Diceros bicornis minor: one gene and its partner. The protein of the gene in region 1 purifies or fractionates together with the protein of each later gene. This does not show direct contact. Links are inferred from orthologs where the notes say so. Each region holds a gene or a part of one and is shown on either strand. Other genes may lie near its edges.

The links.
Region 2: the proteins of NOD1 (region 1) and RIPK2 purify together in Homo sapiens (affinity purification with western blotting; 4 studies listed by BioGRID and IntAct, with this or other methods). This does not show direct contact. The link is inferred for Diceros bicornis minor from reciprocal best matches to the Homo sapiens genes NOD1 and RIPK2.

Annotation. Positions count from the first base shown.
Region 1 is NC_080742.1:54,811,754-54,821,920, forward strand, and holds the start of NOD1 (nucleotide-binding oligomerization domain-containing protein 1), read right to left. Parts: upstream 3,903-10,167; 5' UTR 3,828-3,902; intron 1-3,827. UniProt on the Homo sapiens protein: Pattern recognition receptor (PRR) that detects bacterial peptidoglycan fragments and other danger signals and thus participates in both innate and adaptive immune responses.
Region 2 is NC_080760.1:9,527,602-9,537,648, reverse strand, and holds the start of RIPK2 (receptor-interacting serine/threonine-protein kinase 2), read right to left. Parts: upstream 4,507-10,047; 5' UTR 4,431-4,506; coding exon 4,258-4,430; intron 1,219-4,257; exon of another isoform or gene 1,101-1,218; intron 1-1,100.

The DNA of each region.
Region 1 (10,167 bases):
CCCCAAAATACCCCACAATGGCATATTGGTTATTTTGAATTAAATCTACTTGTTTTGACTTGGTAAAGTTTTGATACTCCTCTCTCTGTTCCCCCCCAAAACAGGAAATAAATGTCCTATGTGAAAGGTACCCTCCCCATGCCAGGAGACAGACATCCTTATCACCAGAACTACGGAATTCAGGGTCAAGAAGTCTACAGAAACAAACCTTGTTACTTTTACTAATTTATCACCTCAAGCCTAAACTCTGCTTAAATTCCTCACTAATTACATACCCCAAACCTAAGTTTCTTTGTCCTGTCAATTCCTCACAAATTTATTGTTTTTTGTACGTAAAAATATATATAAACGTCCTGCTTTGTTCAATCTCTGAGCATCATTTTTTTCTGATCTCCCGTGCAGACGTAATAAATTGGTTTTTCTCCTGTTAATCTGGTCTTGCGTCAATTTTATTAGCAGTACAGCCATAAGAACACAAGATGGGTAGAGGGGGGAATTTCCCCCTCTCCAACACAAGTCACTACATCCTCCCAACTCTTTTCTGCCCCTAACCTGGTATGGTAGTGATGACACATAGAAGGGCAAGGGATATCAACATCCCGAACAAAGATATAACAGTGATGTGGTGACTTTTCATGTTTTATTAAAATATTAACCTACCAAAACCTGGTGCTAATCTGGTGCTCACTTTGCAATTACCTGAGCCCTCAGGTTGAACTATTTATTAGTCCTTCAAACTACAGTTTTCTATAATTTAGAGGAAAATGACTACTCAGCACAACAAATTTCAAAGTGGCAGTGTACTAGAGAGTACCCTATTGATTTTAATGACGTGTTACACAAAATTTCCTTGCTGGCTCTAGAGAAGCGCATTCCTTTTTAGAGCACTCCTCTCCATCAGAGGCCAAGATCCCCTCAGAGTGACAGCATCTCCAGCCTAGCTGGCTCATTGGCTCCAAAGGCTGGGAGGATGGCAAAAGGGAGGGGTGATGGCGAGCTTGCCTTGGCCAACTCTGCATCATAATCTCTGCCCACAGTTTGGTCTGTGGCAGTTCTAGATAAAACACAAGAGTAAAAATTCCATCCAGGAAGTCTTGCTTTGTCACACTTTCTAGCACTGGGTAAAAAACCATCAATTAACTGAAATGGCAGTGATTACTCACTTCTTACTACAAGAGTCAAGTTTGGAAAAAACATTTGCCCTCAATGATCATTTGATGCACGAAAGAGTTTTCCTCAAAACAAGTTCAGACCTTGAGGACTGATGAAAGGAGGCTTCTGTGTGAGATGCAACTGACTTTGCCCAGAAGATAAAAGAAAACAGGACTTCCAGAAACTTGCAAAATACCTACAGCTTCTGCATGACAAAAATTCAGCACAAGTACAAATTTTAGCTTTTCTAATTTCATCTTGCCTAAACTCCCCAAAAAAGAAGAATTGTACAAGAAACTGGTAACTTAAACCTCAAATCGTAGATTTATGTCTTAGGTTTTGAAGAAATAGTGAACCCTTTTCTTTGAATAAAAAGAGACAAGACTTTGATACTCTCATTTAGGCAAAAATCAGAGATTGCACATACCCTGTAAAAGCACTTGACCGTTACACCAACATTATGTTGCTGTTCATATTTCTAATGTCTAATCTAACAGTGCTGCTGTTACCATCAAAATGATCGTCAATGACATGCACAGCAGGTACCAGGGTGAAAGGTTGAGCTGGGACACCAGCATCAATAATCGTAAGATGTGGGTCCCCTGTTCCCCAAATTCCTGACTCTTTTTGGTCATCAAAGAAGGATTCATTCTCCCTAGGCCAACAGTCCGAGCAAAACAGGAACAGCCAGGATGTGCCCTGAGGATGCTGCCAGCAGGAGAGCCACGTGTGTTCTCACATCAATTCTGAGACCTGGAGATAGCCCAGCTTTCTCGGGAGACCATTTTTTTTTTTTTTAATAAATTTTTTTTTTTTTCCCTCAAAGCCCCAGTAGATAGTTGTATGTCATAGCTGCACATCCTTTTAGTTGCTGTACGTGGGACGCGGCCTCAGCATGGCCGGAGAAGCGGTGCGTCGGTGCGTACCCGGGATCGGAACCCCAGGCGGCCAGCAGCGGAGCTCGCGCACTTAACCACTAAGCCATGGGGCCGGCCGGGGAGACCATTTTTTGATATATGTGGCGGTGGGTGGAGGAAGTCTCAAGATTAAGGACCGCTTTCTTTTGTCAAGAAATTTCATTCCTATCACATGGTGTAAAACTGTCTTAGTAAGCCATCTAGGCGGAGAAGCTGGTGGCCTGAGATTCCAGACCTCAAAGTACCCAGAGGCCCTCGGGGGAAGGAGCCACAGAGCCCTCCTCTGAGCAGGGCAGAAGAGCAGGGGAATGGAGTTTCAGGGAGACAATTTCTGGATAAGCACTCTCCCTCACTATGGCTGTACTAAATAAACAACTGTTGTACACAAATCACCGCTACTGTGCCTAACAACTGCCACTGACAGAGCACCTGCCATGTGCCACCTGCTCTGCCTTGAGGTTGATACACATTATCTCATTTAACTATATTAGCGCCAGGACAGAGTTACTATTTTTATTCCCGTTTTACAGGTAAGAAGACAGGGGCTCAGAGAGGTCATATAACTTGCCCACGGTCACATATCACAGAAGTGACAGAGTCTGAATTTGGGCCCAGTTTGATGGGCTCCAAAACTTGAACTTATTTCTCCACTCCACAGAAATAAAACCTATTCTTCTTAGACCCTTTGGGAAGTCCTCTCTTCTCCTATTTCTCTGCTGCAGTTTGTTTTAAATCCACCTTTCTTATCTGCGGGCATATGTCTGTCTCTCGTTCAGTGGTCCTGCTTGCTGGGATTACAGCTCCCGGCCCCCAGCATCTGCCCTGGGGTGAGGACAGGGTCCATGCTGCGAAATCCACTCCTCTCTAATATCCACGGTGAAGTTCCTGTTCCTGGACACTGTATATCTTAAATAGGGGGCTTTTAGGAGGGACAAACCCGACCCTGTGGCAAGCACATCCAGCTTCATCCTTAAAGGAGAAAACCCAGAAGTTGTAAAGGCCATCAGTTTGCTAGTTCCCTCAACTTAATTTCAAATGCCGACAATAGAGGCATTTCCCAGAAAGCAGAACCAAGAGGGCACTGCAATCTGGCATTCGTACGTTTTTCACAACCTGCCAAACACTACGTGAATATCTGAGGCTCTTTTGAACACGCTACTCAGGCGACCCTGCCAAGCATTGCCTCATTCCCCTTCTTTGCGGCTCAGGAAGCCCGAGGGAAGTCCGCTGCCCGGTCCCCAGGGCCACACAGGTCACTGGGAGCAGCCGGATTCGTTTATCCCACGGGCTGGACTCCATCAAGGCCCCCCGCCTGCCTTTCCACCTTCTCTGGGCTGCCACCCTTTGGTCATTGGTTCCCAACCCTGGCTGCACATTGGAATCACCCGGGGAGTTTAAACAATACAGAGGGCTGGGTCCCACCCCAAGCGATTCTGATGGAATTGGTCTGGGATGCAGCCTGGGCATCTGGATTTTAAAAAAGCCCTGGGTGATTCTGAGGGGCAGGCAGGACTGCGAAGCCCTGCCTGGACCACCGCGGGATACACAATTCGGCTGACGCTCAAGTTCATCCCTCTGAACTTTCGCTACATTCCTCAAACTCCCCGGTTTCTCCGCCTTGTTCCACTTGGAACCGTTCTAGGGCAGCTTTTCATTCCGCCCGCACGCGGGATCCCGCCTGCCTGCGCCTCCTCCATCGCGGCGCCCAGGACCCCAGAAACTCCCGCCCCGCGCGAACCCCTCGTCGCTGGGACTTACGTGGCCGGCACGCTTGCAGACCGCTCAGCAGCCGGGAGCGAGAGGCCCGGGCGCGCGCCGTGCCCGCTGCTGCGCCAGGGGCAGGGCGGGAGCGGGCTGCTCGCCGGCCGGAACGGGAACTGGCCGGGCGGCAGTGGCAGCCGCGCCCCTCCGGCCGCGGCCCCGAGCCTCGCCGCGCTGCGCGGAGACGCCTAGGCCGTGCGGGCGCGGACGGGGCAGGGGCGGCGGGGCGGCCGCTCGCCCGGGCCGGGCGTGGGAAGCCGGCAGACGCCGCGCAAGCAATGGCCTCGGGCGGCCCCAAGGGGCGCTCCCTGCCCGAGCACCAGCGGCCAAACCCTGCGCAGGGGCGAGTAGGCCGGCCCGAGAGCTCCCCCAGGGGTGACACACTCGGGAACTCCTGGCGCCAGCTCGGCCACGGCCGCCGCGAGCCCAGGCTCGTCCCCCTAAAAGTGCCAAGCCAGCACTTGTACCAGAGGCAACGCCAGGGCATGATGGTGAAACTCTTGTTAAAAGGTGACACGTGCTCCCCGATGAAAACTAGCTCAAAGTAATCAAACTTTCTACAACAGAGCGTATACTTCGATTTACACTTTTAAAAATTTTAAAATTTAAAATTCCTTTCTGTTCTTGGCAGTATAGGTACATCTGTTATTGGCAGTGTGCATTTTATATCCTATACATTATGCTGTAGTGACTTGTAAAGAAGTTTTTAACCTGCTAAGAAATTTCCCCAATAAAATATTTTTTAACTGTTTTAAATAGGGAAGGTCTACATAAGGCATATTGATGCTATACAAAGTTGTCGCTTTTTCACACTAAAGTGCATTCAATCATATGACCACATATGCTCATGAATATTTAAATTTCCATGAAAGCTGACTTCCGAGAAAAGAAAAGTATGTTCCTAACTCAAAAATGAAACTTTGCAAACAGAAAATTGATGGGATACAATGTGCAAACTTGTAAGCACCAAAATGAAGAGTCTAAGGATGCTGATTCCTCCAGTTTACTCTCATATAAACTGGTGGAAAAATTAGATAATTTTTCTTTTCTAATAGGATTCTGAATTTTATCTTCCATGTCTTTTAAACTCTGTTTCATCTTTTCCATATCCCGTTTCTCTGGCTGCGTTCTGAATAACTGCTTCAGTTCTGTCTCTCCATTCATCAATTATTTTGTAGATATTTGAATCTTCTGTTTAACCCATCTGTGGTAGGCAGAATAGCACCCTCCCCTGTCCTACACCTGGACCCTGTGTATATGGTAAAGGAGAATTAAGGTAGCAGATGGAGTTAAGGGTGCTAATCAGCCAACCTTGAGATGGAAAGATTATGGTGGATTACTGGTGTGGGCCCAACGTAATCACTAGGGTCCTTATATGTGAAAGATGGAGGCAGTAGAAGAACCAAAAAGATGGAGGCCTGAGAAGGACTTGGCCTTGCTGGCTTTGAAGATGGAGGCATGGAGCTATGAGCTAAGGAATGGGGGTGGTTTCTAGAAGCTGGAAAAGGCGAGGAAATGGATTCTCCCATAGAGCCTCCAGAAGGAACACAGTCCTGCTGACTCTCTCATTTTTGTCCAGTGAGACCCATTTCAGTCTTCTGACCTCCAGAACCCTAAAATCATAAATTTGTGTTGTTTTAAGTCACTAAGTTTGTGGTAAGTTGTTACAGCAGCAATAAGAAACCAATGCACCATCCATTTAAGTTCTTAATTTCAACAATAACATATTTACTTTCTAAGTCTTTTGGTTCTAGTTCTAGTTTTCTTGGTCATGTTTAATAGTCTCCTGTTCTTTGCTGATTCGTCATTAAAAAAAAATTCACAATACTACTCAGCCCTAAAAAAAGATAAAATCATCCCATTTGCAACAATCTGGATGGAACTTGAGGGTATTATGTTCAGCGAGATAAGCCGGACAGAGAAAGACAAATACCATATGATTTCACTCATACGTGGAAGATAAACAAACACATGGACAAAGAGAACAGAGTAGTGGTTACCAGAGAGGAAGGGGGTTGGGGGTGAGCATAAGGGGTAAAGGGGCACATGTATGTGGTGACTGACAAATAATAATGTACAACTGAAATTTTGCAATGTTATAAACTAATATGACCTCAATAAAATTAAAAAATTTTCACACATAGCTATTTTTTGTTTGTTTTTAACTAAACTTTATTTTGAGATCATTGTAAACTCACATGCAGCTATAAGAAATAATGCAGAGAGATCCTTGTACACTTAATCCAGTCTCCCCTGACGGTAATATCTTGCAGAACTGTAGTGAAATATCACAACCAGGATGTTGGCATTGATAAGTCAAGATACAAAACATTTCTATCACTGCAAAGATCCCTCATACCGCCCCCTCCTAAACCCCTGGCAAACACTAATCTGTTTCCCATTTCTATACTTTGTCATTTCAAGAATGTTATGTAAATGGAAACATGCAGTATGTAACGTTTTGGGATTGGTTTTTGTTCACTCAGCATAATTCTCTAGAGATTCATCCAAGTCGTTGCATGTGTCGGTAGTCCTTTCCTTTTTATTGCTGTGTAGTATTCCATGGTATGGATTAACCACAGTTCGTTTAACCATTCACATATTGAAGGACATTTGGATTATTTCCAGTTTGGGTTATTATGAATAAAGCTGCTATAGGCATTCATGTACAGGTTTATATGTGAACAGAAGTTTTCATTTCCTTGGAATAAATGCCCAGGAGTGCAACTGCTGGGTCATATGGTAGTTGCATGTTTAGTTTCTTAAGAAATTGCCAAACTGTTTTCCAGAGTGGTTGGACCATCTTACATTCCCACCAGCAATGTGTGAGTGATCCAGTTGCATAGCATTCTCATCAGTATTTGGTCCTGTCACCATGTTTTATGTTAGCCATTCTGATCAGTGTGTAGTGATAGTGATATATCATTGTGGTTTTAATTTGCTAATGATGTTGAACATCTTTTCATGTGCCTATTTGCCATCTGTATCTCCTCTTGGGTGAAATGTCTCTTCATGTCTTTTGTTCATTTTCTAATTGGATTGTTTGCTTTTACTGTTGATTTTTGAGAATTCTTTATGTATTCTAGATACTAGCCCTTTGTCAGATATGTGGTTTGTAAATATTTTCTTCCACTCCTAGTGTGCCTTTTAGTTCTCTTAGTAGGATCTTTCACAGAGCAAAGATTTTTAATTTGATGAAGTCCAGTTTATCAGCTTTTCCTTGTACGAATCATGCTTTTGGTATCAAGTCTAAGAACTTTTTGACAAGCCCTAGATTTCAATGATTTTCTCCTTTTTTTCCCCTAAAAGTTTTATAGTTTTATGTCAGACATTTAAACCCATGATCCATTTTGAGTTAATTTTTGTATAAGAAGAGACTTGAGGCAGGGTTAATTTTTTTTTTTTTTTTTTTTTTGCCTATAGATGTCTAATTGCTGCTCCGGTACTATTTGTTGAAAAGGCTATCTTTCCTCCGTTAAATTACCTTTACACCTTTGTGTAGGTCTATTTCTGGATTCTCTGTTCTGTTTCATTGATCTGTGTGTTTATCTCTTTGCCAATATCATACAGTCTTGAAATTGGGTAGGTCAATTCCTCCCATTTTATTCTTTTTCAAAATTGCTTTACCTGTTCTGGTTCCTTTGACTTTCCACATAAATTTTAGAAAAATAATTTTGCCTAGATTTTGATAGGAATCGTGTTAAACCTATATTGGAGAGAATTGACATCTTTACTATGTTGAGCCTTCCAATCCATGAACAAGGTATGCCTCTCCATTTATTTTAGATCTTTGATTTCTTTCATCAGTGTTTTGAAGTTTTCAGCATACAAGTCTTACATGTGTTTTGTAAGATTTACACTTAATGTTTCCTTTTTAAAAAAAGCAATTGTATACACTGCTGGTAGGAATGTAAAATGGTTCAGCCAATGTGAGAAACAGTTTGGTGGTTTCTCAAAAAGTTAAACATAGAATTATAATATGATCAAGCAATTCCACTCCTAGGTATAAATCCAAAATAATTGAAAAGAGGTACTCAAACAAATATATGTACACATGTGTTCATAGCAGCATTATGTACAATAGTCAAAAGGTAAAGACACTCCATAGGTCTGTCAATGGATGGATGGATAAACAAATTGTGGTATACATATACAATAGAATACTATACAGCCATAAAAAAGAATGAAGTACTAATATATGCTACAATGTTGATGAACCTCAAAGACATGCTAGATGAAAGAAGCTAGACACAAAAGGTCACATATTGTATCATTTCTTTTATATGAAATATGCAGAATTGGTAAATCCATAGAGATAGAAAGCAGATTAGTGGTTGCCAGGGAATGGGGGTAGGGAGGAATGGGGAGTAACTGCTTAATGGATATGTGGTTTCCTTTTAGGGTGATGAAAATATTTTGGAAGTAGAGAGAGGTGGTGGTTGGACAACTTTGTGAATGTATTAAATGCCACTGAATTGTTTACTTTAATATGGCTAATTTTATGTTATGTGAATTTCATCTCAATAAAAAAAGTTTCAGTTTAAAAAAAGCAATTGTAAGTGGTATTATATTTTTAATTTCGGTGTCCATGTATTCTAGTGAATAGAAATACAATTGATTTTTGTATGTTTATCTTGTATCCTGTGACCTTGCTGAACTCACTTATTGGTTCTAAAGGATACTTTTTTGTAGATTAATCCCAGGGACAATCATGTCTTCTGCAAAGAGGGAGTGTTTCATTTATTCCTTTCCAATCTGTATGCGTTTCATTTCTTTTTCTCGCCTTACTGCACTGGCTAGAGCTTCAAGCACTATGTTGAATAAGAGTAGAAGAGCAGTTATTCTTGCCTTGTTCCCAGTTTTAGGGAGAAAGCTTTCAGTCTGTTACTATTAAGTATAATGTTAGCTGTAGGTATTTTATAGATGCTTCTTATCAAGTTGTTGAAGTTGCCCTCTGTTCTTATTTTCTGAGAATTTTTTTTGTCATGAATGGGTGTTGTATTGTGCCAAATGCTTTTCTGCATCAATTGATATGATCACATGACTTTTCCTCTTTAGCTTGTTAATACAGTGGATTACTTTGATTGATTTTCAAGTGTTGAACCAGCCTTGCATCTCTGGAATAAACCCCGCTTGGTCATGGTGTACACTTGTTTAACGTATGGCTGAATTCTATTTGCTAATATTTCATTAAAGATGTTTGTACCTATATTCATTAGGGATATTGGTCTGTAGGTTTCTTTTTGTTTGGTTTTTCTACTGTCTTTATCTAGTTTTGGTATCAGGGTAATATTGGCTACATAAAATGAATTGGTATAGGCTACCATAATGCCTCTCTGTCTCTGGTAATTTTATTTGCTCTGAAATCTACTTTATCTGATATTAATATAGCCACTCACTCTTTCCCTTGATTAATGTTTGCATCATATATCTTTTTCCATCCTTGTACTTTCAAACTGCTTATTGTTATAAGCAATATTGTTATATTGTTATAGTTATTATAGTTGAATCGAGCTTCTTGTAGAAAGCATAACGTTGGGTCATGTTTTTAATCCACTCTGCCAATTTCTGTGTTTTGATTGGTGTATTCAGCTCATTTACATTGAATGTAATTATTGATATGTTAGGGTTTAAGTCTGCCATTTTATTGTTTTCTGTTTGTTCTATTTGTTGTTTGTTTTCTTTTTCCTGCCTTCCTGTGGGTTACTTGAACATATTTTAGAATTCCATTTTTATTTATATGTAGTGTTTTTAAGTGTATTTCTTTGTATACCTGTTTTAGTTGTCGCTCTAGGTATTACATTATATGTACGCATAATTTTTCAGTCTGCTGGTGTCATTTTGCCAGTTCAATGAAGTGTAGAAAACTTACTTCCCTTTACTCTCCCTCTTTTTATAATTGTTTTAAATATTACCTTTATATGTATTTAGAACCACAAATGACAGTGTTATAATTTTTGCTTCAATGTTAAGACACTCAAGAGAAGGAAAATCTACAGTCTTTACCCATGTTTTTGCTTACCATGTTATTTTTTTCCTTTCTGATGTTCCAAAGTTCCTTCTTTTTTCATTTCCTTCTTGTTTAGAGAATATCCTTCAGCCATTCTTTTAGAGTAGGTCTGCTGGCAACAAATTTTCATAGTTTTCCTTCATCTGAGAATGTCTTGATTTTTCCCTTCTTTTTCAAAGACTATTTTCAGTGGATTCTGGGTTGACAGCTCTTTTCTTTCAGCCCTTGAAAAATATGCCACTTCCTTCTGGCCCCATGGTTTCTGATGAGAAATCTGGTGTCATTTGAATTGTTTTCCTCCTGTAGGTAAGGTGTCATCTTTCACTC
Region 2 (10,047 bases), on another chromosome or scaffold:
CACAAAAAAACAAAAATAAAAAAACAATCTGTGTCCTCAAGTTCCCCAGAAATCTTTTAAGAAAAATAAATACTCTTTGTGGTTTTAATTTGCATTTCCCTGATGATTAGTTATGCTGAACACCTTTTCATATATCTGTTCGCCATTTGTATGTCTTCTTTGGATATGTTAGTTATCTTGAGTTTGGTAATCATTTCATGACAAATATGTACATCAAATCATCATATTGTCCACTTTAAATATATACAATTATATCTGCCAATTATTCCTCAATAAAGTTAAAAAAATAAGGAAAGCAAATAAAAGACAGAAAAATAAATACTTAAAAAATAAGGCAGAATGTGATAAATAGCACCAAAAAAAAAGTAAATAAATAAACAGAGAACCATGGGGAGCTCAGAGAAAAGAGAGTGAACTTTGGGCTAGAGGAGTCACCACTCTTTAGATAGATGAGATTTCAACTATCCTTTAAGGATGGATAGAATCTCAACCATTGGAAAAAGGGCATCCGAGATGGAAGTGGCCTCCAAGAGGGGAGGGACCTTGCCTTTCTTTTTCATCTGTGTAACCCTAGGACCTGGAACAGCACCTACCACCCAGTAGATGTCTAACAGGTATGTATCAAATGTATTCAAGGAAGTTAAAATGAAGGCTATGTTTAAAAAATATTTTTTAAAAATTCATTGTTAAATATGAATCAGGATATGTAACTGAGTATGTGAAAGAAGTGAAGGTGACTAGGGTAGGCTAGGGCTACAACACAGAGCCTTAAAGCCGGGTGAGGGTGTTTATACTTTACTTGGTAGTCTGAGTTGTGACTGCAGGTTTTTAAGCAGAGGAATGACATGAGCAGAACAAACTTTTAAGAGGATTAACTTGGTAGCAGGATGTAGGACCAGCAGAAAGAGTTAAGAGTTTGAAAGTCAGGTGTTAGAAGATTATAACACCAGTTAAGATGTGAAGAATGAGAGCCTGAAACTGTAAAGGTCACAGTGGAAATGGAAAGAAATACACTAGCTGAATAGACTACCCAGGCCATGGTGACTGACTAAGAGGGACCAAAAAAATGGAAGGGAATTGAAGGTGTCATCAGTTTTTACCCTGGATGAATGGTTGTTGGTAGCAGCAATAACAGAAAGAGAAACGTCTCCAGGTGAAGCCTATTAGGTGAGTGATGATGATTAGTTGCTCTTAAACCACCAAGCTCTGGATGAATGGCTGTTGAAATAAGAAAAGCAACAGACATTCCAGACCAGACTATGAGGCCTGCTTTAAACACAAAGAGCAAAATAAAGCAAAAAATCTTAGTCAATTTTGTTTTGAATAGGTAATATACTTATATGTATCAAAATTCAAGAGTTACAAGATGGCATAAAGTGAAAGATTTTTGTCCTTCTCCCTGTTCTTCAGCCTCTTAATGCTCCCAACTGTGAGGCAACAAATTGTATCAGTTTGTGAGACTTGTTTTAATTAAACTTATATTCTGTAAGTTGAAACAATTCTGTACTTGCATCAAGAGACACAGGTCAACAGACAAGTTATTGTGTAGCATCCTCGCAGGGAGACAGGATCCACCTGAAGATTCCTGGCTCCTCTGAGAAAGAACTACAGAAAGGGCATGCTGGGCAAGTCTCAGTGATACCTAATACTACACTCTTTCCTCCTCACATTACGAGCATGAGGCATTCTTCCTTCTCTTGTGATCCTATTATGTGTCAGCCACTTTATATGTACTATCATTCTAAAAGATCAGCCCTCTAAAGTTGGTTTCATTATCCCCACTTTATACATAAGGGCACTTGGGCTCAGATAAACTAATAATTTTCCAATGGTCATGCCAAAAATAAGTTGTAGGGTTGGAGTCAGATTTGAACTGCAATAGTGGGACTCAAAAACCTGTCTTGTTTCCATTCCACTGCTTAATCAGAGAAGAAAGAAAGTTCTTGAAGTCAAATTTTGGGAAGATTGAATGAGTGGGAAAACACTCATTTTTTTGAGTGTTTGAGCCAACATAAAAATGTTTTTGTATTTTTAAAAATAAAAATGTAAAATATACCGTCTGTAGACATATCACCAAAATTACCCAACTCAAAATTTCAGTCAAAAAACAGTTACATCATCTACAGGGTGTTTGAACAACTGATCAGACTCATCTACTCATAAGGAGTTGGGAGATTGCTGGAAGGTCTACTCATCGAGCAGAAGTCAGCCATCACTAAAATAACATGTAACAGCACAGAAACTTTTTTTTTTTTCAGGTGATCCCAAAGAACAATGCAAACATTATCTGCACCAGAGCCCAAGACGCACATGTATTTATCATTTCCACTTTATAAGTCAGGAAATAGACACCCTGTGAGTCAACTGCATAGCTCAGCCCTATGCTCAGACTACATAAATACTGCTAATGGTAACATCTAGGTAACAAGAAGGAGAAAAGGACATGATGCAGTAATGCCAGTGTTCCACTGGTTTTTATGGATTCTTTGACAACAGAATTACCTCCCTCACCCAATTTAGCAAAGAATTTTAGATTATGAAAATTGTTAATGAGTATAGTAAGGGAACTCCATTCCTTGGCTCCCAAATGGCACAAAACCTAGATAAATTAAAATCTTGAGACGCAGCATCCAAAATGGGAGGATCAATTTGCTTTAGAATACCTAATAGGTCCTACAATGCTAGATTTCCATATATTTGCGTATAAGTATAAAATATATCCACCCTCTCTAACCAACCACCACTCTTCAAAGTTGATTATGTAGTCATAGACACACACACATGCTTGCCCAGCACTTGCTCCCCAGAATTCAAGGTCCAGGGTAAACAGACACTATACCCTGTATACAGGTCACGAGATCTGGATTATGGTCTAAAAAATGTGGGACCAATCTCTACAAGTGTCTCAAGTCTACTGTGAGATCTAGCCCATCCAAGCTTGACAGCAAGAGACAGCAAAGAAAAGCCACAGGCAGATTAAAGTTCAGTTAACACTGTCAGGGTTGAAGCTGAGGAATCTACCTGATATTGGATACCAACAGCCTCCGGCCAATCAGGCATCTAGCGAGATGTATTTTCACACTACACTTAAGGGGAGGAGAGGAGAATGTTGCAGTCAAGGAGGTTAACTCACTAATAAATGAATGCAGGGTCTAGTTAAATCCCTATCGGTAGGAAAACACACAAGACTAGTGACTAGTCCCACTGACTAACACGTACAGTCACGGTATATGGTCGAAATGTTTTTCTGGAAATAGAAACTAATACTAGCCTTCCCTTCAAACCCGTACAGTGCACTAAAATGGTTCCAGGATGTGAGAGACAATCAAAATTTTTGGTCATTTAACAGTCTTCCGATTCAGTTTATTGTTAGCAAAAACAAAACACATTTCCTCTTGGGACAGACTTGCCTATGAGAGTGCAAGCCGAAACTAACCTGCTATGTTGAATTTGGTATCTAAACTTAGATAACTACCCGTGATAAACCACAAACCAAACAAAAACAACAACAAAAAGCCCAAACCAAAACATCCCAGACTCGAGGAGCACTGTTCAATAAAAATACAATGTGACCCACATGTACAATTTTAAATTTTACAGTGGCAACATAAAAAAAAGAAACACGTGAATTTTAACAATATCTTATATTTAGCCCAATATATCAAAAATATCATCTCAGTATGCTAACAACATAAAAGTTTAAATGAGATACTATAAATTCTTTTTTTTTTTTTAGTACTAAGTGCTCGAAATTCGGTGTGTATTTTACACTAATAGCACATTTCGGTTCCGAGGGCCACATTTCAAGGGCTCAAGAGCCACTTGTGGCTAACAGCTACCTACCGGGCGGCGCAGCCCTAGAGCCCGATTTCAAAGCGGAAAAAAAAGGAAAAAACCAAAGCAGGCAAAACCCGCACTCACTATATGAACACACATCAACGTCAACCGAGAGGACGTTTCGAGTTGGGCCGTGACTGCCGATTTTTGGTGTACGGAGAGAGAGGGCGCAGCAGAGTGCGAGGGAAAGAGCACAGAGGAGAAGAGAGACGAGCGGAAGAGTGCGACTGCCGCATCTCCCGAGAAGCCGGCTCTGCCCACCAGGCCAGCCCCAAGCCTCGAAGGACTGCCTGGAGGTGGAGGGCTGGCGCCGACCCAAGTGGTCCCGCTTGGGGTCTAGAGCCGGCCCGCCCGGGGCCGGCGTGGCGGGAGGGCAGGCAGCCGAGCTCGGCGCGGCCGCGCGCCGCGGGAGCGCCCTACCTGGCGAGCAGCGGGGTGTGGATGTGCAGGTGCTTCACCGCCACCTGAACGCGCCAGTCCGCGTGGCGGGCCGCCGACACGGTGCCCGACGCGCCGCGGCTCAGGTAGCGCAGGTCGGCGAGCTTGTGGTAGGGGACGGTGGGCAGGGCGCTGCAGATGGCGTCCCCGTCCATGGTCTGGCGCTCAGCCGCCGCCGCCGTCCGCAGCTCCCGCGGTCCTCGGCCGGCGCGGCCCGCCCTGCCGCCGACGCCAGGTCACGAGGCCGCCCGGCCCCGCGGCCGCGGTTTCCGGCGCCAGAGCGGCTCCCCAGCTCGGAGACGGGGTCGGCTCTGCGGCGGCGCGCGCGGGAGGAGCCTCCTCTCCGGACGGCCTCCCCGGCCGTTCGGCCTGGCCGCCCGACTCCGCCCTCCCGCTCCTCAGGCGGCGTCCGCGGCGGCCACTGCGCGGGAGGGCCCGCCGGCCGCCGGAGCTCCGCCCTCCCGCTCCTCAGGCGGCGTCCGCGGCGGTCACTGCGCGGGAGGGCCGCTGCGGCGGCGGGCTCGGGCCGGGTGTCAGGGGCGGGCGGGGCCGGAAGCGCTCCTCCGGTCTCCTCTCCCCAACTCCCCGGGTGTGGCGAAGCGTCCCTCTGGGGAAGGCTCCCGCAGCAGCCTACTTTGGTCAGCGGGCCCTCACGCGGGCGCTGGGCCGCGCGTCTTGGGGGAGTCGGGAAACCCGGGAGAGGGGGGCGGGGGCGCCAGGGGAGGGCGCCGGAGTCCCGATGCGCGCGTGCGCGGCGAGCGCCTGGAGGGAGCGTCGGACTTCCAGGGCTTTCCGCTTCCTGAGCCCCGCGAGGCACGAAGGGTGTACGTTCATTCACATGTCTCCCTGGACCCAGCCTTCTTTCGCCCTCAGTTAGTTCAAGAGGGAAGGGCGATGATAGCGCTTTCGGAGTTCAACCCGGGCAGCAGGTTCAGGGGTCTAGCTCCTGTTACGTGCTCCTCTACTAGGGACTGGCTTGTCTCTCTCGTCTTCTATCTTATGTTCGTAATTACATACGGAGATTGAAAAATAACCTCTAGAGAATCCAGCCGTCTGACTCCAAATAAGACTGCAAAAATTTCTTATAGGTCCGGGAGAAATGCAATCAGTGTTTAATGCCAACCAAAAAAAAAGACTGCAAACATAGTTCCATCTTTTTAGTTTAAGCAAACACGTTTCTACTTAGATGACTATTTTGTAGGATGTGACTGCAAATATTATATACAATACCAAGTCCATGCTGGGCATTTAATGAGTTCTGAGGCAACAGTAATAAGGAATGCCTGAGGCGAGTGGAGGTTTTCCGCCTACAGAGAACGAATGCTTCCTGTATTTTTGTATTGCCTGAAATGACAGTAGCAGTGTTACTTTTCACAATATGCAGTGGGAAGTTGTAATGAAATAGTGTATTTAAAAAATTTTGATCGTTTAAAATAAAAGGCTTAGCTTTAAAGATATGACTGGATACTTTGTATCCGATTTCCAATTCACTCATTCAACCACTCAGTTAACAAACTAAGAGTTGCAGAAAAAGAGAACAAAAAGTAAACAGGGAGGGAATGACCCAAATAATAATTCAAGAAATTTTGCCAGGATGGAAGGACAGGGGTCTCCATATTGAAAGGGGCCAACAGGTACCTACAGTGAATGAAAAAAGACCTGTATTAAAGCACATCATTAAAAAGGTCAGACACTAAGAATAAAAGATTCTAAAAGTTTTCAGAGGGAAGAAACAAGAATAAAGGGATGAGAATTAGAGTGGCATTGGATTTCTCAACAATAACACTTTTATGCTAAAACACTGAAGTGAAATTTCTTCAAAGTTTTGAAGGACAATAACTTCCAACCTAGAATGCTGTAGTCGCTCAAACTACCCAAGTATAAGAGCAGAATAAAAACATTTTGATATATACAAGGATGCAAACATTTACTTTCCATCCATCCACTTTTTATTTATTTTTTTTTTTTTGAGGAAGGTCAGCCCTGAGCTAACATCAGTGCTAATCCTCTTTTTGCTGAGGAAGACCTGCCGTGAGCTAACATCTATTGCCAATCCTCCTCCTTTTTTTCCCTTTTTCTCCCCAAAGCCCTAGTACATAGTTGTATGTCATAGTTGCACATCCTTCTAGTTGCTATATGTGGGATGCCGCCTCAGCATGGCCAGAGAAGCGGTGAGTCTGTGTGCGCCTGGGATCCGAACCCGGGTGGCCAGTAGCGGAGCACTCGCACTTAACCGCCAAGCCACGGGTCGCCCCCCCCCCCGTTTTTTTTTTTTTTAAAGAAAGCTACTAGAGGCTGTGCTCCAACAAAATATGGGAGTAAGTTAAGAAACAGAGAGGGCCGGCCCCATGGCTTAGCGGTTAAGTGCGCACGCTCTGCTACTGGTGACCGGGGTTGGGATCCCGGGCATGCACCGCCGCACCGCTTCTCCGGCCATGCTGAGGCCGCGTTCCACATACAGCAACTAGAAGGATGTGCAACTATGACATACAACTATCTACTGGGGCTTTGGGGGAAAAAAAGGAGAAGGATTGGCAATAGATGTTAGCGCAGAGCTGGTCTTCCTCAGCAAAAAGAGGAGGATTAGCATGGATGTTAGCTCAGGGCTGATCTTCCTCTCACACACACACACACAAAAGAGAGAGACATGAGATCCAGAAAACAGGACCAGAAGAATGGAAAGGGAAACCCCAGAATGAAAGATATGTAGCAGAATTGGAGAGCAACTTATTTTCACTGGAGCAGGAAGATGACAGACTCCAAGAAGAAAAACTCTAAAATAATTGAATTTATAGATTAATTTTGAATATTTGGGAAATTATATTGATAGGTGTTGGATATATCTAATGAAATACGTGGAGAGAGAACTTAAAATCTAAGAAAGTGAAAAAAAGGCAATTATTAATTCCATGAAAAATAAAAATTATACAAGAATGGAAGCAGCATTTCTCCAAACTGTTCCATGGTGGTGAAACTTTAAGACTTTTCAGAGCTTTTGAAATACTGGTATATTGTAAATCTCTAAGAAGGAGAGAGCATGCATCATAGAGCTCTATAAAATTTATTTATATTTTTAATTGCATTACTTTTAAATGTACTTTTAAAAAAATAAATAATATATTCACGTTTCAAAATTTAAAAGTGTAGAAGACAGACAATACAATAGAAAATTGGGCAGAAGACCTAGACACCTCACAAAGGGTGATATCTAAATAGCAAATGAAGATGAAAATATATTCAACATCATTAGTCATCAGAGAAGTACAAGTTAAAACCACAATGCAAGATCACTACACAAATACAAGAATAAAATTAAAAAGACAGATACCAAGTGTGAGTGAGGATTTGTAACAATTGGAACTCTTGTACAGTGCTGATGGGAGTGTCAATTGGTACAATCAATTTTGTAAACCGTATGGCAGTTACTATTAAAATTGCAGTTATGCAGATCTTATCACTCTCTCCTAGGTATGTGGACACGTATATGCATATACTAGAATGTTCGTAGCTGTGGTATTTATAATAGCTTCCAACTGGAAATTACCTAAATACCCATAAACAGTAGAATGGGTTAATAAATTGTGGCACATTTATACAATGGAATACTAAACAGCAGTGAGATTGAACAGTGTATGACAATATTGATGAATCACACAAATATAATGTTGGATTAAAAAAGCCAGACACAGAAGAGTACATATTGTATGACTACATTTCTATTAAGTACAAAAGTTAACAAAACTAACCTATACTTTTAGAAATCACAATAGTGGCCACTCTTGTAGGGTGGAGGTAGTGACTAAAAGGGACATGATGGGACGCCTGGGATGATAGTAATGTTCTGTTTCTTGATCTAGGACCTAAACTCTACGTGCCAGTTACACGGGTGCGTTCAGTTTATGAACATTCTTTAAGGTTACACTTAATGTGTACTTTTCTCTGTACATGTATATGCTATACTTCAATAAAAAGTTATTAGTATATATGAAACAAATATATGTGTATATATATATATATATAATGTCTCTCTTTCATGTAATTAGTACCACACTATATACCTGTTCACCTTGCTTGTTTTTCATTGAACAATATATCATAAATATCCTTCCTTATGAAAACAAACAAGAAATAAAAAGCTTCTTCATCTTTTTTTTTTGCTGAGGAAGATTCACCCTGAGCTAACATCTGCTGCCAATCATCCTCTTTTTTTTTTTGCTTGAGGAAGATTAGCCTGGAGCTAATGTCTGTGCCAGTCTCCCTCTATTTTGTATGTGGGATGCCACCACAGCATGGCTGACTAGTAGTGTACGTCTGTGCCCAGGATCTGAACCTGCGAACTCAGGCTGCCGAAGAGGAGCACACGGAACTTTAACTACTAGGCAACAGGGCTGGCACCTCTTTTTTTTTTTTGGTAATTATATTTTCTTCTATTTATAATTTTTATTGTAGTAACATAGGTTTATAACCTTATATAAATTTTGAGTGTACATCATTATATTTCAAATTCTGTGTAGATTACATCATGTTCACCACCCAAAGACTAATTACAATCCATCACCACACACATATGCCTAGTCACCCCTTTCACACTCCTGCCTCCCCTCTTCCCCTCTGGTAACCACCAATCCACTCTCTGTCTCTTTGTGTTTGTTGTTGTTTTTATCTACTATATATGAATGAGATCATACAGTATTTGACCTAATCCCTCTGACTTATTTTGCTTAGCATAATACCCTCAAGGTCCATCCATGTTGTCACAAATGGCTGGAGTTCCTCATTTCTTATGGCTGAATAGTATTCCATTGTGTATATATACCACATCTTCTTTATCCATTCGTCCCTTGATGGGCACTAGGTTGCTTCCAAGTCTTGGCTATTGTGAATAACGCTGCAATGAACATACGGGTGCATATATCTTTATGCATTCGTGATTTTATGTTCTTTGGGTAAATACCCAGCAGTGGAATAGCTGGATTATATGGTAGTTCTATCCTTAATTTTTTGCGGAACCTTCATACTGTTTTCCGTAGTGGCTGCACCAGTTTGCACTCCCACAAGCAGTGTATGAGAGTTCCCTTCTGTCCAACACTTGTTGTTTCCTGTGTTGTTAGTTATAGCCATTCTGACGGGAGTTAGGTCATATCTCATTGTAGTTTTGATTTGCATTTCCCTGATAGTTAATGATGTTGAACATCTATTCATGTGCCTGTTGGCCATTTGTATATCTTCTTTGGAGAAATGTCTGTTCAGATCTTTTGCCCATTTTTTAATTGGGTTGTTAGTTTTGTTGTTGTTAAGATGTATGAGTTCTTTATATATTTAGATATTAACCCCTTATCAGTTATATGGTTTGCAACATCTTCTCCCAATTGTTAGGTTGTCTTTTTGTTTTGTTGATGGTTTCCTTTGCTGTGCAGAAGCTTTTTAGTTTGATGTAGTCCCATTTGTTTATTTTTTCTACTGTTTCCTTTGCCTGGTCAGACGTGGTAGTTAAAAATATGCTGCTAAGACTGATGTTGAAGAGTGTACTGCCTATGTTTTCTTCTAGAAGTTTCATGGTTTCAGGTCTTACATTCAAGTCTTTAATCCATTTTGAGTTAATTTTTGTGTATGGTGTAATATAATGGTCTACTTTCATTCTTTTGTATGTGGCTGTCTAATTTTCCCAACACCATTTATTGAAGAGACTTTCCTTCCTCCATTGTATTTTCTTGGCTCCTTTGTCGAAAATTAGCTGCCCATATATGTGTGGGTTTATTTCTGTTCTTTCAG